Rattus norvegicus: one gene and its partners. The protein of the gene in region 1 interacts with the protein of each later gene in a pairwise test. Links are inferred from orthologs where the notes say so. Each region holds a gene or a part of one and is shown in the gene's direction. Other genes may lie near its edges. The genes, in order: Disc1, Sptan1, Pafah1b1, Ppm1e, Gripap1, Exoc1 and Ywhaz.

Region 1 (4,288 bases):
CTGCAGGATTCTGCAGGACCAGTATGTTCTCTCTCTCTCTCTCTCTCTCTCTCTCTCTCTCTCTCTCTCAATTATTTGTTTATTTTTTTAAATATTTATTTATTATAGATAAGTACATTGTAGCTGTCCTCAGACACACCAGAAGAGGGCATCGGATCCCATTACAGATGGTTGTGAGTCATCATGTGGTTGCTAGGAATTGAACTCAGGACCTCAGGAAGAGCAGTCAGTGCTCTTAACCACTGAGCCATCTCTCCAGTCCACAGTATGTTCTCTTAGCTGTCAGGCCAGCTTCCCGGCCCGTTTTAAGACAGTTTATGTTATGTATTCAGAGATATTCCTAGCGATCCTTGGGTGCAAGTCAGAGATACCTGAGAGCATTCAATGGCAGGCTGGCCAATTCATCTGCATTTGCTATGGAATACCTCTTGGGGGAGGAGAGGGTTAATTTTAGCTTACCACTTGATCACAGGCCACCACTGAGAGGAGCCAAGGCAGGAGCCTGAAGGCAGGCCTGCTTACTATAACACACAGCATTAACCTCCAACCAAGAGCTCACCTCACTGCCAAGCAGGTACAGCAGGAACCGCAGAGGATGCTGTTTGCCAGCTGGCTCATAGATGGGCTTCAGTTCAGTTAGCTTTCTTGGTTAGTTCAAGACCTAGGTAATGGTGCCGCCCACAGTGGGCTGGGCCTTCGAAGGCCAGTTAACTGTCAAGACATTTCTTACAGACACAATCTGCCCTAACCCTAGCCCTGGGCTGTGTCAAACGGACAGGTAAAGCTAACTAGGACACTGACAGCCCCTTTTCCAACTGGATTTTCACTAAATCCAGACTCTCTGCTCATGTCTTTATCAACTTCAAGCCCCATCCACCCATGCTAACGTTAAGGCTCCTGGTAACAGGCAACTGGCTGCCCCACCTCTCCAGGGCCTTGTCTTCCAGTGGTCACAGGTTCCTCACTTCCTGTAGAAACTCTCCCATGCTTCTTCCTAGCGTCCCACTCCTCCCCCACGTTCCACCCACAGCCAGGCCTCCTGGCTTCAGGCTGACTACTCCCCACAGTTCAGTTTTGTAGGTTTATTTTTGCCTCCGGGTCCAGAGGGCCAGGTTACCCGTGACTGGCACTTCCTGGACCCAGTGTCCTGTAGCAGGTGCTTTGCTGGAGCAGCCAAAGGGAAGGGATGGTGGAGGTGAGCCAGCTGCTAGGAGCTTGGCACAGGCTTGTGTGCTCCTGGCCAGCCCCGCGCTGCCAGCGATCCTCAAGTCATTTTTAACAGCTGCTCCCACCCCCCAACCTGTCATCTGTCACTTGGTAGGAAGAAGTCCCTCTCTTGTCCACCCTGCCTTTTACTCCCAGGGTCGGGGAAGCGCCCAGTTTTTCGGTCCCTGGTCACCCTGCCCCATCACACTTCCCCTCCTTGGTTTCCTTCAAGTGAAAAGCAAAACTTTCTGCGCGCTGCGGTCTGGGAGCCGCGAGGGGCGGCGCGCGTGTGCGAGGGGGCCGAAGCTGGAGAGGAAGCGGCGGTCCTGGGCAGGAGGAAGGAGCCAGCCCTCGGCTCGGCCCCCTGCCCGTTTCCCGCCGCCTCCGCGGTCGCAGTCACCACCGTTGCCGCCGTCCGGAGCGCAGCCAGCCGCACGATGCAGGGCGCGGGTTCCCGGGGCGCTTGGATCCACAGTCCGAGCCACTGCCCAGGTAGGGCCCGGGGTCTGACGGAAGGCGAGCGCGGCCTGCCGAGATCCGGGCGCACCCCGGTGCGGGGGAGGGAAACCGAGGCAGGGAGCGGGGCGTGCCGGGTGCGGGCTGTCGCGTCTCCGGCTGCCACTGCAGCTCCCGTCCAAGCGCGTCCCCGCTGGGGGGAGCCTGGCGGCCTGGGGCGCAGTCGGTGGAGGGCGGCGTCCGCAGCGCCTGAGTGCAGCTCGGTCCTGGGACTCTCTCTCGCGTGGCCGGCGCGGACCCTGTGGGGACGCAGGGCGAGGTTGGGAGAGGTGTGGGAACTGCAGCCCGCACCTCCCGTGGGGCTGCTCGCCGCCCACTTCCGAGTGTGGACTGTGACGCGCAGGGCAGCGCAGGCTGAGGGGACCCACTCCATTTTCCCCCGTCAGCATGGGCCACCTACCAACCCTAGTGATGACATCGAGTTAAGTGGGCGGCCGCTTTTCAACAATGACCTCCGCAACTCACTGTCAGAAAACCAAGGAAATGAATGTGATGGCGCACGCCTCTGTTGCTAGTACGCAAGAGACTGAGCCAGGAGGATTGCGGACACTTTCTAATACAGCCTGAGACGCTATCTCAAAAACCCAAATCAAACCAGAATAACGGAAAAACAAAGCAAAGCAAAACAAAACAAAAACAAGAAAAAAACAAAAACCAAGCAGGGAGCCCAGCTCCAGACTGGGCTTTGCAGTTTGGGCGTGCCGTGCTGAAGGAGAGAGGGCAAGGGACTTAGGCTCTTATTTTAGCTCTTGGAGCCTCAGTTTGCCCATTTGTGAAAGGGGCACTAGCCACCCGCTTGCCTGTCTCCTTAACTAGGTTCTATGAAGAATTTTTTTTTTGCAAATGGGAGTTAGAAAACACAGGGTTGATGGGTGAGTGTAGGGTGAGAGTCTCCTGCACATGCGTCCTAGACTCGGGCTTGCCTCAGTTTTTCAATTTGCAAAATGGAGCTGATTTTCCTCCCGACTTGGTCGGGTTTTTAAAGGGTTTAATGTGGTAGGAGGGCATTAAACCCCTGGTTTAATGTGTCTGAGATACACAGCAAGCTCTCAAAAATCTTTTAGTTGCCCAGGTTAGCCTTAAATCCCCTGCATACCCTAGGCTGGCCTCCAATTCGCTAGCCTTGGCCTCCCAAGCGCTGGGATTACAGGTGTGCTCCACTACGCATGGGTCCCTAAGTATTTATTTATTTTTTTGACCGTACAAGACCTAATAATTACGGGTAATACAGGAATGCCAGTGTGAGTTAGTTAGCGTCTGAATTACAGGATATTTTAAAAGACATTTGGCATCTGATGTGGAGACTGTCAAGGTTTAGCCAGGACTCTGCTCACAGCAAAAAGAGCCCTGGATGAGAACCCTGCATTCTGAGCTGCCTCTCCCAGCCTCGGTTCTCTCTTCTGTTGACAGAAAGAGAAAGCACCGTTCACACTGAGTGTTGCCCTAGGATCAGGAGAAGCAGAACATCTGGAACTGGGGCTGGTGCCACCTTTGCAGAAAATGCATGGGCCAGGCACCTGCTCCTGCCCTAGGATGAGGTCCTCCTCAAACCTGTGAGGGCTGGTGCTACCATTCTCATCTTTTCTTCCATGAGGCAAGGGCTAGTCACCTGCCTGTGGCTTTGGTTGTTAAACAAGGACTGAGGCTCAGAAACCAGGTGCTGGTGTCTCCAATCACTGGCTGAAGGGAAGCCATGAGGTAGAGCCCAGGTTGAGAGTAGACCTTTTCTGGTCAAAGGCAATGCTTGGTCTGTTTCTGCCTTTTATACCTATTTTGTCATCTATCTATCTATCTATCTATCTATCTATCTATCTATCTACATCTATCTACCTCTATCTATCATCTATCTATCTATCTCTCTATCTATCATCTATTTATATCTATCATCTATCTACCTCTACTATCTATCTATTATCTATATGTCTATCATTAATCTATCATCTATCTATCTAACATCTATCTAACATCTATCTACCTCTATCTACCTACCTACCTATCTATTATCTATGTCTACTATCTATCTATCTATCTATCTATCTATCTATCTATCTATCATCTATCTCTCTCTATCTATTATCTATGTGTCTATTATCTATCTATCTACATCTATCTATCATCTATCTCTCTATTATCTATATGTCTATCATCTATCTATCTATCTATCTATCTATCTATCTATCTATCTACCTACCTACCTATCTCCAGCCATCTGCTTACCTACCTACATGCAGTACTAGGGACCACACCTAGGACTTTGTGCAATGCTAGACAAGCAGGTGAGCACTTCAGCACACCGTCCTACCTCTAGCTGGCATTTTTCATAATTGCAGACCCTAACAAAATGAGAGTAAATCACAGGAAGAACTTCGCCTTCCCCCTAATGTAATATTTTTATTGATTATTTGGGAATTTTATACAAATGCAATGCATCCCACCCCACTCACTTCCTATTCCTGCCACCCTCCCACCTTTGTGCCTCTCCTCCCCTCAACAAACAAACATCACCAAATTCAATTTGTGTCTCTCACACAGTCATTGTGTTGCTCCCAGTGGCCAGTCCCTTAGA
Region 2 (3,160 bases), on another chromosome or scaffold:
CAGTTGGCCTTCTGTATGCATGGCCATGGTCAGACAATAATAAACACTTCAGTCCTGGGCCTCAAAGCCTCCAGAGGGGAGAATGGGTGCAGAACCAGGCACATGTGCAGTAGCGAGATGGGCTGCAGGGCTTAGACACAAGGTGCCTGCCATTCTGCAGCAGACAAGCATCTGTGGGAGTCACTGAGCGTAAACTCAAAGTTCTTAGGTGGGAATGACTGGTCTGCCCAGAGCCATACATGGCCTTGCCCAGAGCTTCAATGCTGGTTTAACAGAACAGTTTATTTATGACCAGAGATGAGACCATTGCCACAATCTGGGGTCTAAGGCAGCCAGGAGCATAGGCATGTGTGACTCGATGCTAGTAGGACATGGAGCGCTAAGTCAGCCACCAGGTGGGCATCTCCTGCAGTCTGAGCTCAGGCACACTAGACTCTGTAGTCCATGTCATTGCCTTGTGACTGCTCTTTGCAGGAGACATTTGATGCTGGCCTGCAGGCCTTCCAGCAGGAGGGCATTGCCAATATCACTGCCCTCAAAGACCAGCTGCTAGCTGCCAAGCACATTCAGTCGAAGGCCATCGAGGCCCGACATGCCTCCCTCATGAAGAGGTGGACCCAGCTGTTGGCCAATTCAGCTACCCGCAAGAAGAAGTTGCTAGAGGCCCAGAGTCATTTCCGAAAGGTAAGGGTAAGAGTCATCTGGCCAGTATAGTGGACAGTAGACCCATGTGCCTCTGCCTGGCTGTGCCATCACCCTGTGAGGAAGAAGTAACCTCAGCCCAAAGGAGTTGAACGTGGCACCAAAGTCAGTGGAACCCGAGGCACGTGGAGTCCTTGAACTTGCCCTGGAGAATTTATCCTTGACCCTCCCAGGATGAGCACAGCTTGTGCCAGGGAGCGGCAGGCAGAGGACAAGTTGGGAAGATTGTGAGATGGGGCAGAGAGACAGACCCGCAGCAGGCGCTACTCTGATTCCCAGAAACTTCCTCACCCACAAACGTGCCCACCACTGACAATTTGCCCTTCTACTTCTAGGTAGAAGACCTCTTCCTGACCTTTGCCAAAAAGGCATCGGCTTTCAACAGCTGGTTTGAGAATGCAGAAGAGGACCTCACAGACCCAGTGCGCTGCAACTCTCTGGAAGAAATCAAAGCCCTCCGAGAGGCTCATGATGCCTTCCGCTCATCGCTCAGCTCTGCGCAGGCCGACTTCAACCAGCTAGCCGAGCTGGACCGTCAGATCAAGAGTTTCCGAGTGGCCTCCAATCCCTACACCTGGTTCACCATGGAGGCCCTGGAAGAGACGTGGAGGAACCTACAGAAGATCATTAAGGTGTGCCACTGCTCCCTGCCCCTCTTGCTTAAGTCCCACTGCCCTTTCCCAAGGTAGAGCCATGTTTATGCTGAGCCCATCTGAGGCCAGATGTCAGGAAGCAACAGGAAGTAGCAGCTCCCTTTTGTCTCAGGAGCGAGAACTGGAGCTGCAGAAGGAACAGCGGCGGCAGGAGGAGAATGACAAGCTACGCCAAGAGTTTGCCCAGCATGCCAACGCGTTCCACCAGTGGATCCAGGAAACAAGGTGCCTGCCCTCTGGGGCTAGCCAGGGAACATGGTGCCCCTTTGCAGCTGCATGCCAAGCCTCTAGGGAGCTTGTTAGAGACCTGGTGGGTGGGGGGCTGCTTGGACGAGGACTGTCATGTCTGATTGGGTCCAAAGCAAACGTGGGCTCAGCACGGTTCATTTCACCAAGGGTGATGTTGGCACTTGCCCCAAGTGAGGTAGAACAACTGCCCGAGGCCCCGTCATCCTGGCACCCAGGCTTGGGCAGAAGAGTACTAATGTCCTGTATTTTGTTCTCTCTTCTACATCGTCCCGATTGCTGCTGTGTGTGGATACTGCCATGGCTCCTGGACACTTGGATCGCCATAGAACGTATCTCCTCGACGGGTTAATATTGCCTTCTTTTCCGGGCTTGTGGTGTGGTGGTGTCTTGTGTGCTTGTCCCTTTGTCCCTTGTCCCCAGTGGCCTGGCTTGCAAAAGATCCCAGGATGGGCCTCCTGCCCACCTTGTCCATGCCCATTTTCCCTGCTAGAAGAACCCATAGTGTTGCGGGAGTCACCTCCCCTCTTTCAAGGTAGGGACTAGCTGTGGTGGGAAACCAGAGTCAGTCTGAGAACCCTGTCTGTGCCTGGCCACCAGAACTGGATTGCACTTGCCTGTTTTCCCATAGTGACCAAAAAATTTGCATTACGCCCCAGAGGTCAGTGGGCATATAGAGCTGGGTGGCTATGCTCAGAGCTTAGACTGAGGACAGCGTCCAGTTGAGGGGAAGCTCTGCAGCCCTCTTAGGACTGAGGTCGTCCTATCTTACCCCTGAGGAGAGTAACCAGGATTGTTTATCCGAGAAAAAGGCAAATGTCCAACGTTACAGTGTTACAGAGACAGGGCTTGGAGGAGCTGCGGGAGGAGCAGGGCTGTCCCCTAATCCCAGTAGGAGCCTGTATGAAGGGCCCCCACTTCAGCCCCCAATCCATTCGTGCTACTAACTAATCCAGACAAGAGGCCTAACAAGAACCTATGGCCTGTGAGATTCTGCAGAGGGGAAAGTCAGGCATGTAAAGAGATAATGACCACAGAAATCTGCCAAACCATTCAGGCTGTAGGAGGCTTTGCAAGGTGGGAAGGATTGCAGCATCTGGACTGCCTACCACAGGCTTCCCCACCCTATGCTGTCTGCTGCTCTTGGTCTTGTTTCTGTGCAGTGCCATGCTTCCTCACCTGTGGCTCCTCCCAAGCCTTGTCCCACCTGGCCCACCCCTTGAGCTGCCCCTGGTTCCTACCCAGTGCCAGGCTTCCAGCTGTGGCACGTGTCTGTCTCGATATGCTCTTGCCTCGCCTCCTTTTGGTGTATTCATTTGGTTTCTTTTCTTTGACTAGCATAGCATATCGTCGGGTCATTCGTGTCTATCAGTATGAAGTTGGGGATGATCTGTCTGGAAGGTTCTTCTCCTCTTATTTCTCTTCTTCCCTCACTGTGGTTTTACCAATGCACTCTGGACTCCCAGGCGGCTGCTTTCTAACCCACACCCTAGCCACTTGGGAGGAGGGTCTGTCCCCCTCTGCTGCACTGGCCCTGGCCCTGCCTCCTGCCCCGTCCC
Region 3 (3,500 bases), on another chromosome or scaffold:
ATGTGGTTGCTGGGAATTGAACTCATGACCTCTGGAAGAGCAGTCGGGTGCTCTTAACCGCTGAGCCATCTCTCCAGCCCCTGAGACAGGATCTTAAGTATTGGGCTACTCCAAGCTTCATAGTGAGCTCCTACTTTAAAAGGAAAAAAAGGAGTCGTTTTATATAATGATTCTTCATTTGACTTCATGTTGTCTTTTATGGAAATAGAATCAAAATTAAATGGAACAAGAAGAATTTATATCGAGTTATTCCAGGCCAACAAGGACTTTGTAGTTTGACCTTGCCTCAGGAAAAAAATTCAGAATCTAAAATACTATAGGTTTTAGGTAGATTATCTCTGAAAACATGTAAATCACAATAGTGATTGCCTATGTTAAAATATTAGATATAATTGGCAATATGGACCTATTAAGTAGGGTTAGGGATATATCATGCACAATCCTTGGATTTGATTTCTAGTGCCTTACATCTGCCAGGTATGGTGACTCATGCCTTTAGGATCAAAAGTTCAAGGTCATCCTTAGTTTCTGGCTAACCTGGGATTCACAAAATCCTGTCTTACAAAAGCAGAGAGGACCAGGCATGGTTGCTCATGTCTTTCATCCCAATGCTCAGAGGCAGGGGCAGGGGTATCTCTGTAAATTCAAGGCTGGCCAGTACACACAAAAAAATAAAATTGGCTAAAGGATGTACTGTTATTGTATGTATATTTACGTTTTGTTTAATTCGTGACTTTAACTTCTTTTTTTTTTTTCTTTTTTTCGGAGCTGGGGACCGAACCCAGGGCCTTGCGCTTGCTAGGCAAGTGCTCTACTCTACCACTGAGCTAAATCCCCAACCCCATGACTTTTAACTTCTTAACTACTTAAGTTAGTTTAAAGGCTTAAACAGAGGACTCCTAAATCAACCTTTTCTATAATTTTGTGACGAAAGGCTCACAGTAATTGGGAAATGTTGAAATAGGAGAGCACAGATGCTTGCCAATATTGTCAGGACAGAATGAAAAAGAAGCATGAAAATATAGTTCAACTTTGCTGCCTTTAATTAGAATTCTAAATGTCATTCTAAGACAATATACTGTTTGTAGCTTGTGCATTTTTAGTGTATTAAAATAGTTTAATTTCTTTCGTTTGTTTGTTTGTTTCGGGGAGGCAGGGGTTCAAGACAGAGTTTAACTCTAGCCCTAGCTGTTTTGGAACTCACTCTGTAGACCAGGCTGGCCTCAAACTCAGAGATGTGCCTGTTTTTGCCTCCTGAGTCCTGGGACTATAAGCATGTACCTCCATTGCCTGGCTTCATTTTTAAATAAGGTCTTTCAGTGATGCCTAGTCCAAACTGGCTTTGAATTCACTATGTAGCATGGGCTGGCCTTACACTCCAGGTCCTCCTGTCTTGGTCTCTAGTGCTGGAATTAAAGGCATGTACCACCACTGCATGGCATTTAGAGTTGTCTCCCCTCTCCCCTCCCTCCATCCTTCCTTTCTTCCTTTCTTTCTTATATATAAGTGCACTGTAGCTGTCTTCAGACACACCAGAAGAGGGCATCAGCTCTCATTACAGAGGGTTGTGAGCCACCATGTGGTTGCTGGGAATTGAACTCAGGACCTCGGGAAGAGCAGTCCGTGCTCTTAACCACTGAGCCATCTCTCCAACCCCCCCAGAGTTATTTCTAATACTAAAATATTTACTATAATTTTTTTTTTTTTTTTTTTTAGGGGGAGATGGTATTGTGCCTGAGAGATACTTTTATGGTGTATGCATGTGTGTCTGCCTGGAGACAACACTCTTTACCTGTTCCTCTTTAATAGGACGGTTACTTTCTCAACTTGGAGCTAGAATATTTTAGCTAGTCAAGAAGCCAGCAAGCCCCAGACAGGCTCTTTCTACATATCCTTGTGCTACAGACTTGGCATAGGACACTCAGCCCTTTACATGAGACATAAACTTCAATCCTCATGCTTGCACAGCAAGGAAATTATAACCACTTAGTCATCTCTTCGTATTCTTAGTAGAGTTTCATTAAAACATTTCTGTGCAAAACTCAATTCTAATCTCCAATGCTTGAGTATGTTTATCAAATAGTAAGAGAAGGTGAATGTCAACACTAGAAAAACTGATGGCTACTTTAACAATTGATGTCTAGGTATAGAAATATATCTGTGGAGTGCCTGCAGTTTACAAGCTGAGCAGTAAGTTAGAAAGTGATAAAATGGCAAAGGCCAGGACTAGAGCTCAGAGGCGGGTCACTTACCTAGCATGTACAGTGTTCTGAGTTCAGTCCCTTGCATCTCTGAAAATAACAAAAAAAGAAAAGATGCTAAAAAACAATACAGATAAATTGTAACAGTACCTAAGTTTTTGAATTTTGGAAGTATGTCTATTTTATTTCCAGAAATATTTATATAATTTAGTACTCTGGGCAGTGGTGGTACACACCTTTAATCCCAGTACTCAGGAGGCAAAGGCAGGTTTGAGGTTAGCCTGGCTCACATAGTGAGTTCCAGGGTAGCCAGGGTTTCACAGAGAAACTTGTCCTTGGGCTGCCCCAACCCCACCCCCCAAAAAATTATTAAGTGTAGTTCTTCAAATAGAAGGTCTTTTTAGGACTCATTTTAATTTTTTTCTTTCAGAAATCGAGCTATAGCAGATTATCTTCGTTCAAATGGCTATGAAGAGGCATATTCCGTTTTTAAAAAGGAAGCTGAACTAGATATGGTATGCTTGACTGTATAATTATCATTTTTCTAATTATTCATAGTGTAGTTAATGAGTTAAGTTTTACTTAAGGTTCAGTAGGTCAATTCAGCTATTTAAATTTTGCCATTTGTTGTGATTTACTTAGTGTTGAGCTTAATTTTCCCACTTTCTGTATAGTCAAATATTTAATAATGTTTTGTCTTAAAGGTATCATTGTTAAGCCATTTTTTAAAAGATCTTTTTCTCTTCCAGAATGAAGAATTAGATAAGAAGTATGCTGGTCTTTTGGAAAAAAAATGGACATCTGTTATTAGATTACAAAAAAAGGTAACTAGATCTTTCTTAAGTCAGTTGTATTCAATGTCTACTTATAAATTTTCTGAAAATATTGCCATAATTACTAATCTGCAGATACTCATGGTTGATCTTAAAAAAAAATACATTTCTTTGCTTCATGAAAACTTTGGTTTTAAGGTTATTTTTGATACACATTAAACAGTCTAGAGGTTTAACCTTGCATTGTCTTGACTGAGAAATTGGTGCTGAAGGAATCATTTGTGTCCTTAGAACAGTGCTGTTTAGCCTGTGGGTGGCACTGCACCCCTTTGAGGTTGAATATCAGCTAACCTATAGTATCAGGTATTTATAATTCATTAACAGTAGCAAAATTACACTTAGGAAGTAACAACAAAAGTAATTTTATGGTTGTGGGTCACCAGAATACAAGGATGTATATGGTCGAAGCGTTAGAGAGGTTGAGAACCAATGCCTTGGAAGGACATAACTAATTATAACTGGAAAA
Region 4 (4,216 bases), on another chromosome or scaffold:
CAGTTGGTGAGAACACACCCTCTTCTGTCATTAATAACTGACTGGAAATGGTATTTCAGATCCTAAATCCAGCTGAAACCCAGAAACAATAAATGGAGTGATGGAGTGGATAATTTGTGAGTGTGTGCTTTTTTCAAAGCAGAGGGGGAAAAAATCACTATGTTTGTGCGGAATTACATGCTGCCACGGACACGGCAGTACGCGGCAATGATGCTATCATCCATACAGCTGTATAACACAACTCCCTCCAAGCATCCACCACCAACATCAGCACCACGAAGCCTGGAAATAATAGGTTTGTGTATAGTTTGGTAAGAAAATTAGAATAATTTAAAGTCATTTCAGTTCTAGTTTGGAGTGGGGGGGGTAAAGATGAGACACAGGAGGTGGTGGGGAAGAACAAACAAAATATAGACAAAAATACAAATTATATGATAGAATAATGTAGTATACTGACACGCATTATACAGAAGCCAAGGAGGAGGTTTTAGGGTGATGGAAAACTTACAAGTGAAATTTACCATTTCAACCAGGATTGAATTCTTGTTGCATCGCTTGCTTCTGACCTTGAGCAAAGTCACTGTCTTTAAGGTTTGTTTCCTCATCTGTAAAACAGAATCACAACGGTAATATCCTTTGCCTTAAAGGGCTGTAGTGAGGATTAGAGATGAACACGTGTAAACTGAAAAGCACTTTATAAATATGACATTGTGTGGATACGAGGCACAGATTTTCATAGAGCAGAGTTAAGGGGAAAGATTCTAAAGGCTTTGGAGACTTAGATCTGGGCGCTAACGCCAATGCCACAGCTCTAAAATCTTGACTTTAAAGCAAGCGAATTCCTATTTTATTTCACACGTTCATCTTTTTGAGAAAGGAGGATACATAGAATCAAATGAAAGGACCTGGGCAAAGGAAACTACCCTTTCAGGTGGTTGTGCCCCCACCTCTACTTTTTCGAGGCATGTCTTCAGTAAAAGGTGTTTACTGTGTGCTATCGTATCAAGAGATATACTAAGGCAAGGCAAGCAGATAAGGAAACTGAAGTCAGTACACTCCTGATGGAACCCACAGAGATGCTTAACATGAAACTAGGGTCTTCACCCAACAAAGACCATTCGAAGTTGGAGTGCAGGAGTCCAGTGTCCTTAGCACTCCACAGACTCGACGGGAGGGACCCTGGAATTCTTAATTAGAACCGGTTGCCATGGCGACAGTCTCTAGGCAGCGTGGGCTGAGCTCTCGGTAGGGATTGCGGGTGGGCCGCCGCTGGACCCTGTGCGCGCGCCCGCCACCAACTTTCCCTCCAGACCGGAGAGGGGTGGCGCGCTCCGCCCCCGCCCCCGGGCCGCGCACGTCCGAGCTCGGTGGCGCGCACGCCTGCGGGAGCCCTCTCCAGGCAACCCAGTGCTGATCGCCGGTGCCGGTGCGGCCGTTCCCCCTCCGTAGCGGGAGGCGAGGCTCCGAAGCAGCCCCCTCCTCCTCCTGGGTTCACCTCCCACCCCCTTCCCGGTGGACCTCGGGGCATGAGCAACGATGGCGGGCTGCATCCCTGAGGAGAAAACTTACCGGCGCTTCCTGGAGCTGTTCCTGGGCGAGTTCCGCGGACCGTGCGGCGGCGGCGAGCCAGAGCCCGAACCCGAATCCGAGCCCGAGCCCGAGCCCGAAGCGGAGCTGGTCGCGGCTGAGGCGGCCGAGGCTTCGGGGGAGGACCCGGGGGAGGACGCTGCGACGGTAGAGGCGGCCGAGGAGGGGGTGCAGGACCAAGACCCGGAGCCCGAAGAGGAGGCGGTGGAAGAGGAGGCGGCGGCCGAGGGCGAGGAGGAGGAGGAAGAGGAGGAAGCGGCTGCCCCGGGGCACTCGGCCGTGCCGCCGCCGCAGCCCCAGCTGCCGCCGCTGCCCCCGCTCCCGCGGCCGCTGTCGGAGCGCATCACCCGAGAGGAGGTGGAGGGCGAGAGCCTGGACCTGTGCCTGCAGCAGCTCTACAAATAGTTAAGTAGCGGGGCTCGGCCGCGGGTGGGCCGCCATCCCCGGGGGGGCTGGCCTGGGTCCCTGTCCCCGCCACCCGTGTCCCCGCGAGGCACCCGGGCGGGGTCCCCGCTCCTGCCCCTGGCCCCTCTTCGCTGACCCTCTCCGCCACTTCGCACACCCTTCTCCGGAGCCTTCTTGTCAAGGTCTTCCCTCCAGTCTTGGGCTTCCCATTCTTCCCAGCGCCTTTATTCCGGGGGGGTTTTCCTCCAACCTTCGTCTGTCTGTCCTTTCCCGGGCTGTGTTCCTTGTTGGGCGGCGGGGACGCGCGACTCCTTTATGGACTGAAAGAGGTGCCTTTCTGCATAACCGCACAAAGCTAATACCGTCGGTGTCCAGAGGAGCCTAGACCCCTGGATTTTCTGTTAGGCGCTCACCGTGGTGGCTCGATAGATGGCTTTCCTACGTGAGAGCCTAGTATCATACTTTACAGACATTTGACATCTCATAATATAGAGCGGTAGGGGGGAATTGGGAAGGAAGTGTTAAGTAAAACCCTACTGAGCAAGCCTTTAGGTGAAAAGACGGGGTCATAATTCGGAAGAGTCAGCCTGGTTGGGTAAAATTGCAATTAAGTGCAGTATTTTCAGTCCATTAAGTAGATGGGGTGGGAGGTGGGAGAAAAGCAGATGGCTTAGCTACCCAGATGCAAGTCTAAAATAGAAAGGTCAAGGCTTTGCCTTTCATCCGAGTTCTGCTTTTTTATGGGCTTGGAACAGATACGGTTTACAGTTGCGTTTCTTTCCAAATGGAACTGTTCTGAAATAATGCCTCAGCAAACACCGGTAAACCAGAGAGTCTTTTGACATTCAGCTAATAGTTGTAATGAAAGGTGTTACTCTGACCACCCAAAAAGTTTATTATCGCAAGCTAAGTTTAAACCCACTTCCTGGATTTCTCTAAAGCCTGGGGGGGCCAAGAAGAGAAAGCTATTTTGTCTTCATCTGACCTCGTAGACAACTGATCAAACCATTCTCCTGTTAAAAGCAGCAGCCTGTCAAAGGGAAAAGCCACTGAGCAGATCTGTAGAATTGAACCGTGTGGATGCCACATTTATAAACCATCTAGTAATTAATTTAAAAATACTGTCCAGTTACCAAGGGAATAGTGTGTTTTGGGGAAATGCAAAAATAAAATGGCGTGTAATACCACCACCTGGGGATAAACAGCATTAATGGTTTAGAGTAGTTCTTTTGTAAAATATCAAAGAAAAAGACCTACAGAATGCCAGTTTTTAAATACATAATTCAGACACTTAAATATAGTGGACATATTTGCCAAGGTGCAGAAATTTAGCTCAGGCTAGTACTATCTGGGCAGTTGTTACTTTTACATATACACTTCCAGAATTGTAGGGACAGCTTAAGGATTAAGAGGATGCTCCCCTACTGCTGTTAATGTAGTACAGTCCTGAACATTTCAAGGCTTTTAAAACCGAGATGTGCAGAATGAAATGGTAAGATGTGGGTGGTTTGTGTTTTAATGTGATGAGGAAACCAGATTAATCTTAATGTACATATCAATTAGAAAAATGATCACAATGAGAAGGAGGTCACCAATGGAGCATGGAAGTTTGTGTTTAAGTTAAAACTAGCAAAATTGACGTTAGAAAATATTATTCCCCCTTAAATTGGACACTTATACTCTGACTTCACATAAAACCAGACTTTGTACTATATTTTGTTCTGATGCTAGTCAAGATAAAAATGGCTGGCTCATTTATGTAAAGTATCTATAAGGTCCTTAGTGGGTTAAAAGTTTTAAAATATGTAATGACACTTTTAGTTTTTATTTTATTCTTTAAAAAAAAGCTTAAGACTTAGACAAGAATCAGGTCCAGCTGGTTTCAGTGTTAGGCCATTTTTCTCTTCAAGCACTTCATTTTACATGTGAGGCTACTAAGTCCCTATGCAGATTTGAAAAAACAAAAACCAAAAACGAGTCATGTAGAAACAATTCCAACATTTCCCCACAAAATCTCTGACTCTCAAAACACCTGCCACAGTGGGAATGTTGTCCTCAAATGTCTGAGAAAATACTTCGAAGTGAGGTTTTTAAAAAAATTATGTGCCTCTTCGTAGGTGTGTGTATGGGAGTGCAGGTACTCAAGGAAGCCACGGGTGGAGAATTCTCTGAACCTGCAGTTACAGGCTGATGTGAATTGCTGACACAGGGGTCCTGGGGACCC
Region 5 (3,988 bases), on another chromosome or scaffold:
ACACTAAAAGAATGAATAAACAACTTGTGGCATATGGATAATAGGACATTCTATCCACTGACAAGAGAAAAACATCTGATAACAGCACAACTTGGGTGAATTGTGAGAGCCAAAAGTGAAAAAGAAAAGGAAATACAAAAGGAGTACATTGTATCGCATTCTATCTGAAGGAAGTTCTACAATAGACAAATGTAGTTCAGCCGGAAAGAAAAACAATGTTGCTCTGGCTGTAGGAGGAGGGGTGGAATGAAAGAACCTTTAAGGGGGATGGAAGTGGATTATGACAACATAGGCGTCAGAACAGTTATTGAATGGTACCCTTTAAATGACTGCATTTATATGGAGAGACAGCATCTATCAATAACATCTTTCAAATTACAAGGGTCCTGCTTCAATATATTTCCCACAGCAGGAAAACAATTTCACTTCTATAAGAATACAATGAGCAACAGTGTTTTTCAGATCTGAGATACTTAGGACACATTTAAATACTTTTTTTCTGGTGTTTTCGTTTTTGTTTTTGTGTTGGGGATCACATCCAGAACCTTGAGTGTGTTATCAAACCTTTTCATGGAGCTAGTTTTTGTTTTTACTTGTAATGGGGTTTTCTGTTTTTGTTTTATTTGCTACTGTTCTCACGAATTTTTAGCTTTCTCAATGACTAGATCTTTTCCCTAACATGAGCACTGTGTTAATAAAAATCATTGTCAGATCGTTTTTTAAAAAAAATGAGGGGTGGGTGGTCAAGGACTTTACGCGAGGCGGGATTCCCCTTTGGGGTCACCCTAGGAGGGCCGGAACAAGACCCGAGGAAGCTTCCGCTTTCATTTCCATGGTTATTAAGTCACTTTCTCTTTAAAGGAGCTTCGCGGAAGGTTAATTTTCTGTCGGAGGACTACTTCCCTCTCGACGAGTCCACTCATGATACAGGGATACCATAATGTCACATAGCAATGAGTAATCTATAAATGCTCAAAACTATTTACAATTTTGTAAATTTACAAACTATTTACAATTTTGTAAAAACCGAAGAAAAAATTTTATGAACTTTAAGCATCATTGCCTTCTCTACTTCTCTAAAATGCTGAACATTTGAATTAGTTTGTTTCCCCTCCATTGCTGGTCAGTGGTTCGCTCCGACCTTAGCACTGACAGGCCGCAGAAGCTGCGGCTGCGCACAAAGCTTGCGGGGGGTGGGGGGAGGAACATGGCGCAAGCTCTGTCTGAAGAGGAGTTTCAACGGATGCAGGTGCCGCTGGATGGGGGGAAGACCACCCGTCTAGGAGACTGGGGGCGGGGTAGAGAGAAGACATGCCGTCGGTTCTGAAGATTTGGTTGGGATGGGTCTTAAGTATAAGCGGGTGGTCTGGGGAAGGGAAACTGAGGCTCTGGGTGGCGATCTTATTGATTTCGAAGATTCTACGTGGGTTCTGAAGGTTGAATTCTGTTAGCCTTGTAGGGAATGTAGAACGTCTTTAGGCGAATCCTTTCTCAGTCCGGATTCGGGGTGAGACCTTTCGGTTCATGTGTAGGGCATACCATTAAATGGTGATGATGTTAGACTTTAAAGGATGGAGATTTCGAGGAGAAATTATTTTGTCTGGAGAGAGAAGAAGCAGGCATTTGGCCATTTGCGTCATGGGGGGGGGGCGCTGGTTGGTGATTTGACAGGACAAGACCATGAACTGGTGGGAGGTGGAAAGTTTGTGGGAGATACCAATACCACTAGGCTAGGGGAGTAGGGAAAGTCTATGAATCTATTCCCTAGAGTTGCTGTGCCATTGATGGTAGAAGATCCTAAGAGGGAGGGAGGGAGGTAGGGAGGGAGGGGTATAATTTCATGGACTGGGGTGATTCCTTTAGAACTGGGGAGAAGAGCATTCTGAGTGGGTAATACCATTAACCCAGATTAGAGGAAGAACCAGAGGATATTTTTAAAAACTGATATTTGGGGAGTTCAGGAAAGGGGACATCACTGGGTTTGGGGGAGTAGTCTGACCTGGTACTCAGACCTGTTGATCCTTTTCAGGGCATCCTGAGAGGGATGATAGCACTGCACAATGAATGGATACTTTGTGAGAGAGCATTAATGGGAAAGACTGAAATGGGGAAGCCTTAGAGTCCTGTAGGTTGGGGGCAGAATGCTTGAGGGAGCAGAAGTATTCCATTGACCCGGGAGTTAGCTGTTGTACTTGAGAGATACTGAGGATCTAAGAGTGAGTTCACTGGACCATAAATGGGGAGGACCGCTGTAAATTGCAGAAGATTCTGAATAAGACTAGTTCAACTGGCCCACCCAAGGGTATTTGAGAGATCCTGAGGGACAGACATAATGTCATCCCTATTGGATCATGACTAAAGACATCTTGTGAAGAGTGGGTAGATAGATACTTGAACATGGAAGGTTTATCCTGTTTGGGCAATGTGTAAGGAAAAACTATTGGGTTCTTTTGGAGAGGGACTTCAAGGTGGGTAGAAAGGTATTCCAGTTGGCCTAGGATTAGGAGAGATGATATCTGGGTCTTGAGGAGACCAGGACAAGAAAGATCCTATAATAGCTAAGCCTTCTGATCTGGAGCAAACCAGTGTGCTGAGAGAGGTGGAGCTGGTGCTTTGAGAGGGATATAGAAACAGGGGTAGGGGACAGTGGGTGGTTCTGCGAAGAATCAGATTCAGGGCTCTCCAAGGTTGGAAGATATACATGGACTGTGTGAGGCGGCCCATGCTGCACTTCCTCTTAATTCTATACTTAAGGGGATTCTCACTTGTTTTGAAAACCTTGACAGTTCCACAGGACCTTGAGCAGCATCCCCCTGACTCATGGAACTTGGGAAGGAGAAAGACCAGATTCTCTTTCCTTGGGAAAGAATTGGGCCCCCACTGCTGGCCAAAGGGGCATTCTGAGTCTAGGCAGGACAGTGTGGTTACAGGGGGAGCTGAACAAGGTGGAGCTGGGGTTCAGGGCTTGCTTGCCCATTTAAGAATACAGTATCCAAAGATCTTTTTTTTTTCTTTTTTCTTTTTTTCGGAGCTGAGGACCGAACCCAGGGCCTTGCACTTGCTAGGCAAGAGCTCTACCACTGAGCTAAATCCCCAACCCCAGTATCCAAAGATCTTAAGGAGCAACGAAGGAAGTGCTTAGGCGATAGCAGTCCAATCTTTAGGACTTAGGGGCTTGTTTGCTTCATGTGGGGGTAAGAATGCTTTCCTGACAAATATTTTTGTTTCTTGGATCCTCCAAAGACACAGCTCCTGGAACTCCGGACAAATAACTACCAGCTTTCAGATGAACTCCGGAAGAATGGTGTTGGTGAGCCAAGAGCGTCTCATTAGATGGGGTGGTTTTGGGGGGAATAGAGGCCTGATAAGATGACCCTTCAGTTCCTTGTTACCGCCTGAGGCTCAGATTCCCTGCTTTCCCTGCACCAGAACTTTCCAGTCTTCGACAGAAGGTCGCCTACCTGGATAAGGAATTCAGTAAAGCTCAAAAGGTACCTCCCTCCGCCTACCCCATCCACCCACCACTTGCTTCGCCCCTATCCATCTGACTCATTCCCAGTGAACACACCTACACCGAAGCAGACCTAATGTCACATGCTGCTTTCTTATAGTCATTTGAAGTATTTTTTCACAGAAATTTCTTCAGTTGGCTAATTTTAACCTAATCTTACTTAATTTTTGCGTGTGTTTCTTTTAAGACAGGATCTTGCTATGTAGCCCAGACTGGCCTTGAATTCTTGATTGTCCTGCCTCAGCCTCCCAAGTGCTGGGAATATAGATGTGTGCTGACATGCCTGGCTTTGCTTAATTTATTGATTGATTTTAATTTAGTCTAATAGCAATTGCTTATTCATTTTCATTCACTTTTTGTTTTGTTTTTGCGGTGCTACAGATCAAGCCTAGGATCTCATGCATGCTAGACAAGCTCTCCATGTTTGATCTTAGCCAAAAGGCTAAAACGTGATCTTTTTGTTGTTTACAAGACAGA
Region 6 (3,934 bases), on another chromosome or scaffold:
GGAAGAGGAGGGGAGGGGAGGAAGAGGAGGAGGAAGAGGAGGAGGAAGAGGAGGAGGAAGAGGAAGAGGAGGAGGAAGAGAAGGAGAGGAGGAGGAAGAGGAGGAGAGGAGGAGGAGGAGGAGGAGGAGGAGGAGGAGATGATCATCCTGGTAGAGTATGTTATCCTGCCTTCGCAATCACCTTTTCTAGTTCTACCTCATTATGAACTCATTCAGTATAGAATTAAAGCTTGAATGGCCTTTGTACCTGGAAATCAAAGTTCCCAGCACTCAATCCCTGCCAGGGATGTGGCCTAAATGAATCACTTGTCTTATAGCTCACAATCTTGGCATCATTCATGCCTCTCACACTGAAACAAGTATCACCTTTAAAACAAAGATTCTGTTTCAGTATCTGATGTGAGCCGGCGGGTGCAGTTTCTAAAAAGCACCCAGGAAGGTCTGCGCAGTCCGCCCGGTAGAGTATGAAGTGCGTAAGTGACATGGTTCTAGACCTAAACACGTTATGGGAATTAAGTGGGGAGAAATTAAGGATACTAGTGATGTCTAGGTTCCTCTCCCAGAGATTCTGACTTAACTCATTGAAGTGCTCCGAAGAATCTAGAGTTAACAGGATTTTACATATGCAAAGGAGAAAACATTTAATGAGCTCTCAAATGATTTGCCACAAATATCAGAATGGGTACATCTAGAAAAAGAAAATACCACCATTATCAACTCCTCTAATCAGTGGTTATCTATGCTAGTGGTTCTCAACTTTCCTAATGCTGCAACCCTTTAATACATTTCCTCATGCTGCAGTGGGTCCCAACCATTAAACTATTTCATTTCTATTTTATAACTGTAATTTTGCTGCTGTTATCAATTGTAATGTAAATATCTGATATATGGGATATCTGATATGTGACCCCTATGAAGGGATCATTTGACCGCGAAAGACCCACAGGTTGAGAACCACCAGTCTACGAGCTTGCGGGTTCGGTCCTTGCCTTTTCCACGCCCACTGTCTGGCCCGGTCCCACCCATCAAGGCAACGTTCGACCTCCTCCAAGTCCATTGGTCAATCTGTTCCCTTCCATTGTCTCCGTTTCCGGCTCCACAAGATCAACTTCCGGTACAGAGCGGCACGTGACCGGATACGGGAAGTGGCGGCTTCTGGCCGCTTCTTTTCCCAGCTCAATGAAAAGCGTTTCATAGCTGCTCTTGCTGCCGGCGCCCTTGTAGAGTCCGTCTTGGAGCACCAACCTCGGCCGGCCGGCCTCGCGGTAAGCTTCCGGCCGGGGACCGGCGGTCCTGGAGGTGGTAGCCTAAGTGGAGGCAGTGTTCAATCTGCGTCAGGTCGGCCACTCCCAAGTGACACGGCCCACCCACCCTGCTGCCCTCCAGGGCTGCAGAACCGCTGCTGCAGAGCCCGGACTGAGTCCTTACTTCTTCCTGTCCTGGGCTCTGGGAGAAGACGGAGCCCGGAGGCAGCCTAGGGTCAGTCCTCAGTTCCGCCCATCCGGGACAGATTTCATTTTTGCCAAATTAGCGTGGTTTGGGAGAGGAGAACGTGACCTGGCTTCTGCCGGTCCAAATCAACAAATATGTCCTTATAAATCTTAAAAGGGCGTTGCCCAGCCTCTGAGCAGTTTTCGTTTTTTGGATGACAAGTCTTGAGATGTCACTGCAGTAGATGGGCCCAACCCACTAAGGCACTTGCACTGACACACAGTGTAATGATGGCCCTATCAAGGTGCAGGAAGTAAGATACGCGATGAACAGAGGTTAGCTGCCTCTGTAACGGGCAGCCTTGAGGTTTTAGAAGGCGAAGAACTAAAGAGAACCCAGAATATGGGCGTGGGTTTTAGACTTGGTAAATAGTTGTGAAGGCCACTATTAATAATACTGGCATAATATAAAGTTCTGTATAAACATTGGAGAATTCATCACTAACCCCAAAGAAGACTGACTGTTACAATTCTACATCATCCCATTCATGTCTTTCAGATTCTCCACTATACCCCCAGAGTGCTACCTGGCACTTAGTGAATAGTAATATTTGTTGAATTACGTCTAATTTCTTTTATGAGTTATAACCAGTCCTCTGCTGTTTGGCTGTTTACCATGCACGGAGTCTTTAGTATGGTGAATATTGGCCTGAGTTAATTGTTCTGTTTACCAGTTTTTACTGTTTCAATAAAACAGGTTACACCAAGAGGTTGTAGTAAGTACCCAACACACAAACCTGTGTTAGAGCACCCTCCCTCCTCCTCTTCCTCCTCCTCCTCCTCCTCCTCCTCCTCTTCCTCCTCTTCCTCCTCTTCCTCCTCCTCTTCCTCTTCTTCCTCTTCCTCCTCCTCCTCCTCTTCTTCCTCCTCCTCTTCTTCCTCCTCCTCCTCCCAAGAGATGACTGTGGAGACCTAGGAGATGATACTCATGTCCCCATTAGATAGCAAGCACTTGTCTCGTAAATACAGTAAGTGCTCTAGACATTTGCATGGGAAGAGCAATGAGGATTAAGACTTTTACTGAGTCAGCTTCATCCAAATGGAGAAATGTACGTTTGAATAGGGAAAAGATAATCTGGCCTGCATGGGAAAGTGCTTAACCAAAGATTTCAAGTCAGAAACAACACAGTGCTTTGAATGCAAGGCATGGCTTGAGAACAGTGGTATAATGAGGACTGGTTTAAAGTTATTTACTAGTTTTTCAGGGAACTTGTAGAAACTTTAAAAAAAGAAAAAGGTAACAGGTGCTATTACTTAAAGGCAGTAAATCTTGGTTGCTTGGTAGCCAGATGGGGGAAAAGTAAATTATATGTAGATGGAGAAGTCACTGCGTACGCTAACAGATTTCACGTTGGCATGGAGGAAGCAATGAACTAGGGCAGAGTTTGAGTCTGGGTTGTTTTCTTATAGATTCAAAAGTTGGAAAGAGGTAACTTGGAGGGAACTATCCCTGGTCTGTTGTTGAGTGCAACAGTATTTCCCTAAATGTTTACTAAGCACTCGCTGTGTGCCTCGTGGCAAATGCTAGGAATATAAAGATGGATAAGATGAGATCCTTGCCGAGAGAGAACTGCTTTTAGTAGGGTCTAGAGTGCACTAGCTAGAAAACACTGGTTGGAGAGCTGCTGCCAGTAGAGGTAAGCTGGGGAACAGAAGAGGAGGAAGGCTTCAAAGAAGATGCAGTGTGTTATCAGAATGGTTGAGGGTGAGTTGGAATTTGCAGTGACAAGAATTTCAGAATGAGGAAAATAGTGAACAAAGCCCAGAGACAGTACAGTAAACTGCAGTGTCCACTTGAGTTTGAGGATAGGATAGAGTATCGCTTTAATGTCACACCTGGGCCCTAGGGCACATTAAGGGGTGTGCCACAAGCTAGAGTCATCTGAAAGAAGGAAACCGCCATTGAGAAAATGCCCCCGTAAGATCCAGCTGAAGGGCATTTTTTAAATCCGTGGTTGACGGGGGCTGGATCATAACAGCAGTTGCATGCCTGACTTGCAGAAGGGACTGCAGGACTGTTCTAAAGCCTCCCTGCCATTTGTGATCCTCCCAGCTGGGTGGGGGAGGCCCCTTCCTCATTGCTTACTGCTGTGTGTCCTGTGGGTTTTTAGCCTTCCCAGCAGTTGAAAGTAGGATTCTTGCCGCAGATGTCAGTCGTATTTCCCAAGTGGTTGATGGTATGAAACCTTTTGGGTTTCTGGTGTGCATCTTTGCAATAGGCAAAGGGCGGCTGCACATGTTTTTCCTTAGCACCATCCACGCCCCCTTTTCTTGTGCGTGGTCTCTCACCAGATTGGCGCTCCAACCATAGGTGAAGTTGTCTGCTCAGTGCACTCCAGGGATCTGCTTGTCTCTGCCTCCCCAGCATGAGGTTGCAGGCAGGCTTCCCCATGCACTGCTTGTTAAATGAGTTCTGGAAACTAACAAGATTGGACTTGTGTCCT
Region 7 (4,245 bases), on another chromosome or scaffold:
GCATTAATTTGCTCATCTGCTTAGCATGTTATGAATCTATTGCTGTGGAAACGGGTTGTGGGGGGGTGATTGGCGAGGGGAGCGACTGGTCACAGGCAAATCTTTAGCTAGCTGTCATTTCAGGCAAGTTATAATTTGTAGAACAAGCTTGTGGTTCAGACAATGTATCCAACATACGGATAAGACAGTGGTAGGGAAAGAATAGCTTGTTATGAAGTCTTCCAGAGAGCTCTGGGCCGAATTCCTGAGGTTCTTTTTTCAGTTGTGCTTAGTGTAGCCCCCAAAAAATGTTTTAGCTCAGAGGAGCACAGTTAAAAGGAGCAAAAGCAGATACTTCATACAGAAACTGCATCTCCTTTCAACTTCCGTCTCCTGGGTGGAGACCTTGTGGGTTCAGGCACCTGCAATTTCCGCCCTTTTCCTCCCCCCCCCCTTCTTCCGGGCGTAGAAGCCCTGCTGCTCCTCCTCCACTAGGGCCCTAGGAACGACCACGCTCCCAAACCTTGCTTCCAGAACCTAAAAGGGTCACACTCTTACAATGCGTTAGTTAGGAACGATGCGTCTCCCAATGAAAGCCCTACGGAGGGTAAAAGCGTAGACCATGAAGAGCAGTTCGGTGTGTTCTAGCCTGTTTCCCCGCTTCGCCCCAAGTCAGGCTTCTACGATCACGTCCAACTCGCAAACCCAACCCTTTCCCCGCTCCTCCCAGCGACCACCCATTGTCCCCGAGGCTGTCACGGTGCGGACGCCGAACTCGCGACTGGAAGGGCAGGGCGTCATTCAGCCTCGCGCTTTTCCAAGCCTTAAAAGGTCTAAGGCCGCTTCCTGCAGCAGGCAGGTAAAGCGGACCGCGGGAGGGAGCAACCGCGCCCGCCCCGCCCCGCGACGGCGGGGCCGCTGCCCTGCTCCGGGGTTCTGATCACAATGCCCTGGCAGTAGAGCCGCTGTCACCCTGCCCTGCAGCCTGCCCGCCGCCATTACCAGCGCAGAGAGAGGGCGGCCAGGCGGGAGGGGGTGGGGTGGGGAGATGCGAAGGTCCCGGATGTGCCCGCCAGTAGAGGTGGGGGCGGGGAGAGGCTTCCTTCCGCGGGCCGCAGGGGCGGGGAGGGAGGGCAGCTCGCGGGGGCGGTGGGGAGAGAACTGAGCACGCGGGTGAAGGCAGGGTCTGGAGCGGAGCGGAGCGCGGGTACGCGCTCTCCTCCGCTCGCCCTCGGGCGCGGGCGGGCCGGCCGGGCGCGCGCAGGGGAGCGGCGGTTGCGCTGGGCCGGAGAACTGTGGGCACCAATCAACGGTTGCCATAGCAGCGTTTGACGTCATCGTGCGTGTGGTGCCCCTGCTGCCGGGGCTAGTGATTGGAGGAAACCCCGTGTCTGCGGAGCGGCTGTAGCCTGTGAGCAGCCAGATCAGGGACAGAGTCTCAGCCTCGCCGCCACCGCTGCCGCCGCCCAGAGACTGCCGAGCCGGGTCCGTGTGCCGCCACCCACTCCGGACACAGGTGAGAAGCCGCCCTGAGTCGGCCTCCGCTCCCTTCAGCCCTCCGCTGCGCTGCGGGCCGAGAGGGGTCTCCCCTGGAGGACCCGGGCGGCGGCTCGGCTCCGCCGGGCCCGGGCAGGCGCCCACCGCCGCCCCCGGCCGCTTGCTTCTGGCCTGCCCGGCTGCTCATCGCCCCGTTCTGGTCCCCGGGTGGGGGTGGCGGATCAGGCGCCCACGCGCGATACCCAGGGGCTCCTACTCCCCAGGGCGACCGCGATCCGCCCCCGCCGGCACCCTGCTTCCGCCCGCGACTGTGACTCGGTCGTGGCGCAGGTGAGGCCGCCCCCACCCGCGGTACCCCCGCCACCCCTCCCCCACGCGGGGGGCAGCCAGGTAGCATGCGGGGCGCTGGGGTGGGGCTCGTCGGGGACCCTGAGTTGGGCTTGCTGGGTCCCGCAATGCCGGAAAGGACTCTCGGGGCGCGCGGTGGGGGAGGGGCGCGGCCAGAGCTAGGCATGGGGTCACAGGGGCTCGGGGTCCCCAGCGTCCCGGGCCGGTGGGAGGTGCGCATCCTTCCCGGAGCCCCGGCCCCCTAGTGGGGGCTGCGCCTGTCTGGGTGGGGCCCTGCCCCTCCCCCTACCGCAGCTGTCCGGGCTTCGGGACTCCGGTCGGACACAGGCGGAGGGGACCCTGGGCGGGAGCGGGGTGTGTCCGGCGCGGGTCGGCCGCGGTTCCGCTTCTGCGGGCGCGGATGGCATCGGGCCCCCGGGAGGGTGAGTCGCTCTCCCTCCCCCCCCCCACCATCCGACTGGGGCGGGTGCGCGGACTGCTCCACCCTCTGCCCGGGTTGGGGGGGGGATTCACAGTCGGAGTAGGTTGGGCTCCTTGACACAGTTCCGCCATGACAAAGAGAGTCGGGGACTAGCGCGGAGGCACCAGCCTGGGCGGAGCCAAGGAGGGGAGGTGGCTGCGGATGGCGCGGACGCCAGGACTAGCGCTTTAAAGTCACCGCTGCGCGGTTTCGGTTCGCCCCACCCGCCGGCCTCGGGCAGCTAAGGGTTAAGTGGGTGCGGCGAGTATTCCCGCAGTCTGAAGGCGAGGTCCGGGAGCACTAGTTTTCCTGTGAGAAACCTAATCCACTTCCCCTTATACGGGAGGTTGGCAGAGGAACGTTTGTACTGACTGGGCTTACATCATTTTTTGGAAGCAACATTTACCAGAGACGGTTTCTGATGTTAGATTTCGAGACCCCGGGGGGGAAGTATGGGTTCACAAATTTTAAATAGTTGATGCACTGAAGGTACTGTGTCTCGAATTTAAGCTAGCTCCGTGTTTCTGTTCTGGACACTGCTCGTTTGGCCAACCAAAAAGAGGTCGTCCTTTCTGGAAAGGGAAAGGAAAGGATTTGATAATTTCCATGGTGGGCGGCTGTGACTCTTATGCCTTTCGATGTGCCTTCAGGTTGTGACTTTTTCTTTATATTTTGTGGGATCACTATATGATTTAGAATCTTGCTCTTGACATGGTTGAAGAAATAAGTAAATTGGAATCTAGAGATCGTTGAAATTGAGCAAAAGAAAACTGAGAAACTATGAAAAAGAAGAGCTTGAGTACTTCTGTGACTCGAGCTAGAAATAATGCGGTAGACATTGGAAGCACTCGGGTCCTTCCGTGTGTTGTAGACTCAGTGCACACTCATAGTAGGAAGTATGGGTGTGTGCTGAAGCAAGAGGTCATACAATGCCATATAGAGACAGATTTGGTCTTGGCTTTAGTGAGTCCTAGTGGTAGTGTGTTCAAGATGTCTTAAGCAGCAATTAGCCAATTATCTTGAGATAATTTTTATTCCATGATCAGCTGGCAAATGTTACAAGTGTAGTAGATCAGGGTTGGGGAGGTGCTAAATAAAACTCAGTCACTCTTGGTAAGAATATATACATATAAAGGTTAGAGTATATGAGTTACATTACACTGACATGACTCACGATTCTGTAGGTATGCACTTCATAAGCATTGTAGATCCCAGTCCCTACCCTAATCCTTGATGCCCATGCACACACCTGAGGGTCCCTACCCACAATCCCCTCATGCCCATGTACACACCTGAGGGTCCCTACCCACAACCCCTTCATCCCATGTACACACCTGAGGGTCCCTATCCCTAACCCCTTCATCCCCATGCACACACTCGAGGGTCCCTTCCCACAACCCCTTCACCTCCATGCACACATTTCGAGGGTCCCTACCCACAACCCCCTTCACCCCCATTCACACACTCGAGGGAACGCTGCTCAAGTGGGTCATTTAGTGGTATTAGGATCAAGTGATACTTTGGCCAAAGAAAATAGAGGTGGGTTTTTAAGTAGCTTATATGTCCATATATGCTTTGATCTTACTTGAAATTGGGATCTTCTGAACATCTGGAACATGCAGTTTGACTAACCCACTGTTAATATTCAGACTATGCTAGTTTTCTGGTTGGTTTGGGGGCGTGGGGGTGTTTTAATTCCTCAAGCTAGGTTTGAGATGCTGGTGTGCCTTATTTACGACAGGTATAACGAGTGTGTGTTTTTCACAGGAGTTTTCTGAGTGTTTCTCTTGTTCACCTTGCAGAATATCCAGTTATGGATAAAAATGAGCTGGTGCAGAAGGCCAAGCTGGCCGAGCAGGCAGAGCGATACGATGACATGGCAGCCTGCATGAAGTCTGTCACTGAGCAAGGAGCCGAGCTGTCTAACGAGGAGAGGAACCTTCTCTCTGTTGCTTATAAAA

Evidence for each region.
Region 2: the proteins of Disc1 (region 1) and Sptan1 interact in binary tests that used the Homo sapiens proteins (3 or more experiments, as listed by UniProt). The link is inferred for Rattus norvegicus from reciprocal best matches to the Homo sapiens genes DISC1 and SPTAN1.
Region 3: the proteins of Disc1 (region 1) and Pafah1b1 interact in a two-hybrid assay, tested with the Homo sapiens proteins (2 studies listed by BioGRID and IntAct). The link is inferred for Rattus norvegicus from reciprocal best matches to the Homo sapiens genes DISC1 and PAFAH1B1.
Region 4: the proteins of Disc1 (region 1) and Ppm1e interact in a two-hybrid assay, tested with the Homo sapiens proteins (2 studies listed by BioGRID and IntAct). The link is inferred for Rattus norvegicus from reciprocal best matches to the Homo sapiens genes DISC1 and PPM1E.
Region 5: the proteins of Disc1 (region 1) and Gripap1 interact in binary tests that used the Homo sapiens proteins (3 or more experiments, as listed by UniProt). The link is inferred for Rattus norvegicus from reciprocal best matches to the Homo sapiens genes DISC1 and GRIPAP1.
Region 6: the proteins of Disc1 (region 1) and Exoc1 interact in a two-hybrid assay, tested with the Homo sapiens proteins (2 studies listed by BioGRID and IntAct). The link is inferred for Rattus norvegicus from reciprocal best matches to the Homo sapiens genes DISC1 and EXOC1.
Region 7: the proteins of Disc1 (region 1) and Ywhaz interact in binary tests that used the Homo sapiens proteins (3 or more experiments, as listed by UniProt). The link is inferred for Rattus norvegicus from reciprocal best matches to the Homo sapiens genes DISC1 and YWHAZ.

Annotation. Positions count from the first base shown.
Region 1 is NC_086037.1:69,910,488-69,914,775, forward strand, and holds the start of Disc1 (disrupted in schizophrenia 1 homolog), read left to right. Parts: upstream 1-1,488; 5' UTR 1,489-1,643; coding exon 1,644-1,698; intron 1,699-4,288. UniProt on the Homo sapiens protein: Involved in the regulation of multiple aspects of embryonic and adult neurogenesis. Required for neural progenitor proliferation in the ventrical/subventrical zone during embryonic brain development and in the adult dentate gyrus of the hippocampus.
Region 2 is NC_086021.1:33,698,069-33,701,228, forward strand, and holds part of Sptan1 (spectrin alpha chain, non-erythrocytic 1), read left to right. Parts: intron 1-474; coding exon 475-684; intron 685-1,037; coding exon 1,038-1,334; intron 1,335-1,467; coding exon 1,468-1,580; intron 1,581-1,930; coding exon 1,931-1,948; intron 1,949-2,939; coding exon of another isoform or gene 2,940-3,002; intron 3,003-3,160. UniProt on the Homo sapiens protein: Fodrin, which seems to be involved in secretion, interacts with calmodulin in a calcium-dependent manner and is thus candidate for the calcium-dependent movement of the cytoskeleton at the membrane.
Region 3 is NC_086028.1:60,048,697-60,052,196, reverse strand, and holds part of Pafah1b1 (platelet-activating factor acetylhydrolase IB subunit alpha), read left to right. Parts: intron 1-2,631; coding exon 2,632-2,716; intron 2,717-2,950; coding exon 2,951-3,025; intron 3,026-3,500. UniProt on the Homo sapiens protein: Regulatory subunit (beta subunit) of the cytosolic type I platelet-activating factor (PAF) acetylhydrolase (PAF-AH (I)), an enzyme that catalyzes the hydrolyze of the acetyl group at the sn-2 position of PAF and its analogs and participates in PAF inactivation.
Region 4 is NC_086028.1:72,681,747-72,685,962, reverse strand, and holds the start of Ppm1e (protein phosphatase 1E), read left to right. Parts: upstream 1-1,416; 5' UTR 1,417-1,536; coding exon 1,537-1,991; intron 1,992-2,001; exon of another isoform or gene 2,002-4,216. UniProt on the Homo sapiens protein: Protein phosphatase that inactivates multifunctional CaM kinases such as CAMK4 and CAMK2. Dephosphorylates and inactivates PAK. May play a role in the inhibition of actin fiber stress breakdown and in morphological changes driven by TNK2/CDC42.
Region 5 is NC_086039.1:17,377,789-17,381,776, reverse strand, and holds the start of Gripap1 (GRIP1-associated protein 1), read left to right. Parts: upstream 1-1,188; 5' UTR 1,189-1,207; coding exon 1,208-1,249; intron 1,250-3,243; coding exon 3,244-3,310; intron 3,311-3,429; coding exon 3,430-3,491; intron 3,492-3,988. UniProt on the Homo sapiens protein: Regulates the endosomal recycling back to the neuronal plasma membrane, possibly by connecting early and late recycling endosomal domains and promoting segregation of recycling endosomes from early endosomal membranes.
Region 6 is NC_086032.1:32,011,328-32,015,261, reverse strand, and holds the start of Exoc1 (exocyst complex component 1), read left to right. Parts: upstream 1-1,134; 5' UTR 1,135-1,265; exon of another isoform or gene 1,266-1,479; intron 1,480-3,934.
Region 7 is NC_086025.1:69,845,903-69,850,147, reverse strand, and holds the start of Ywhaz (14-3-3 protein zeta/delta), read left to right. Parts: upstream 1-1,445; 5' UTR 1,446-1,495; intron 1,496-4,086; 5' UTR 4,087-4,097; coding exon 4,098-4,245.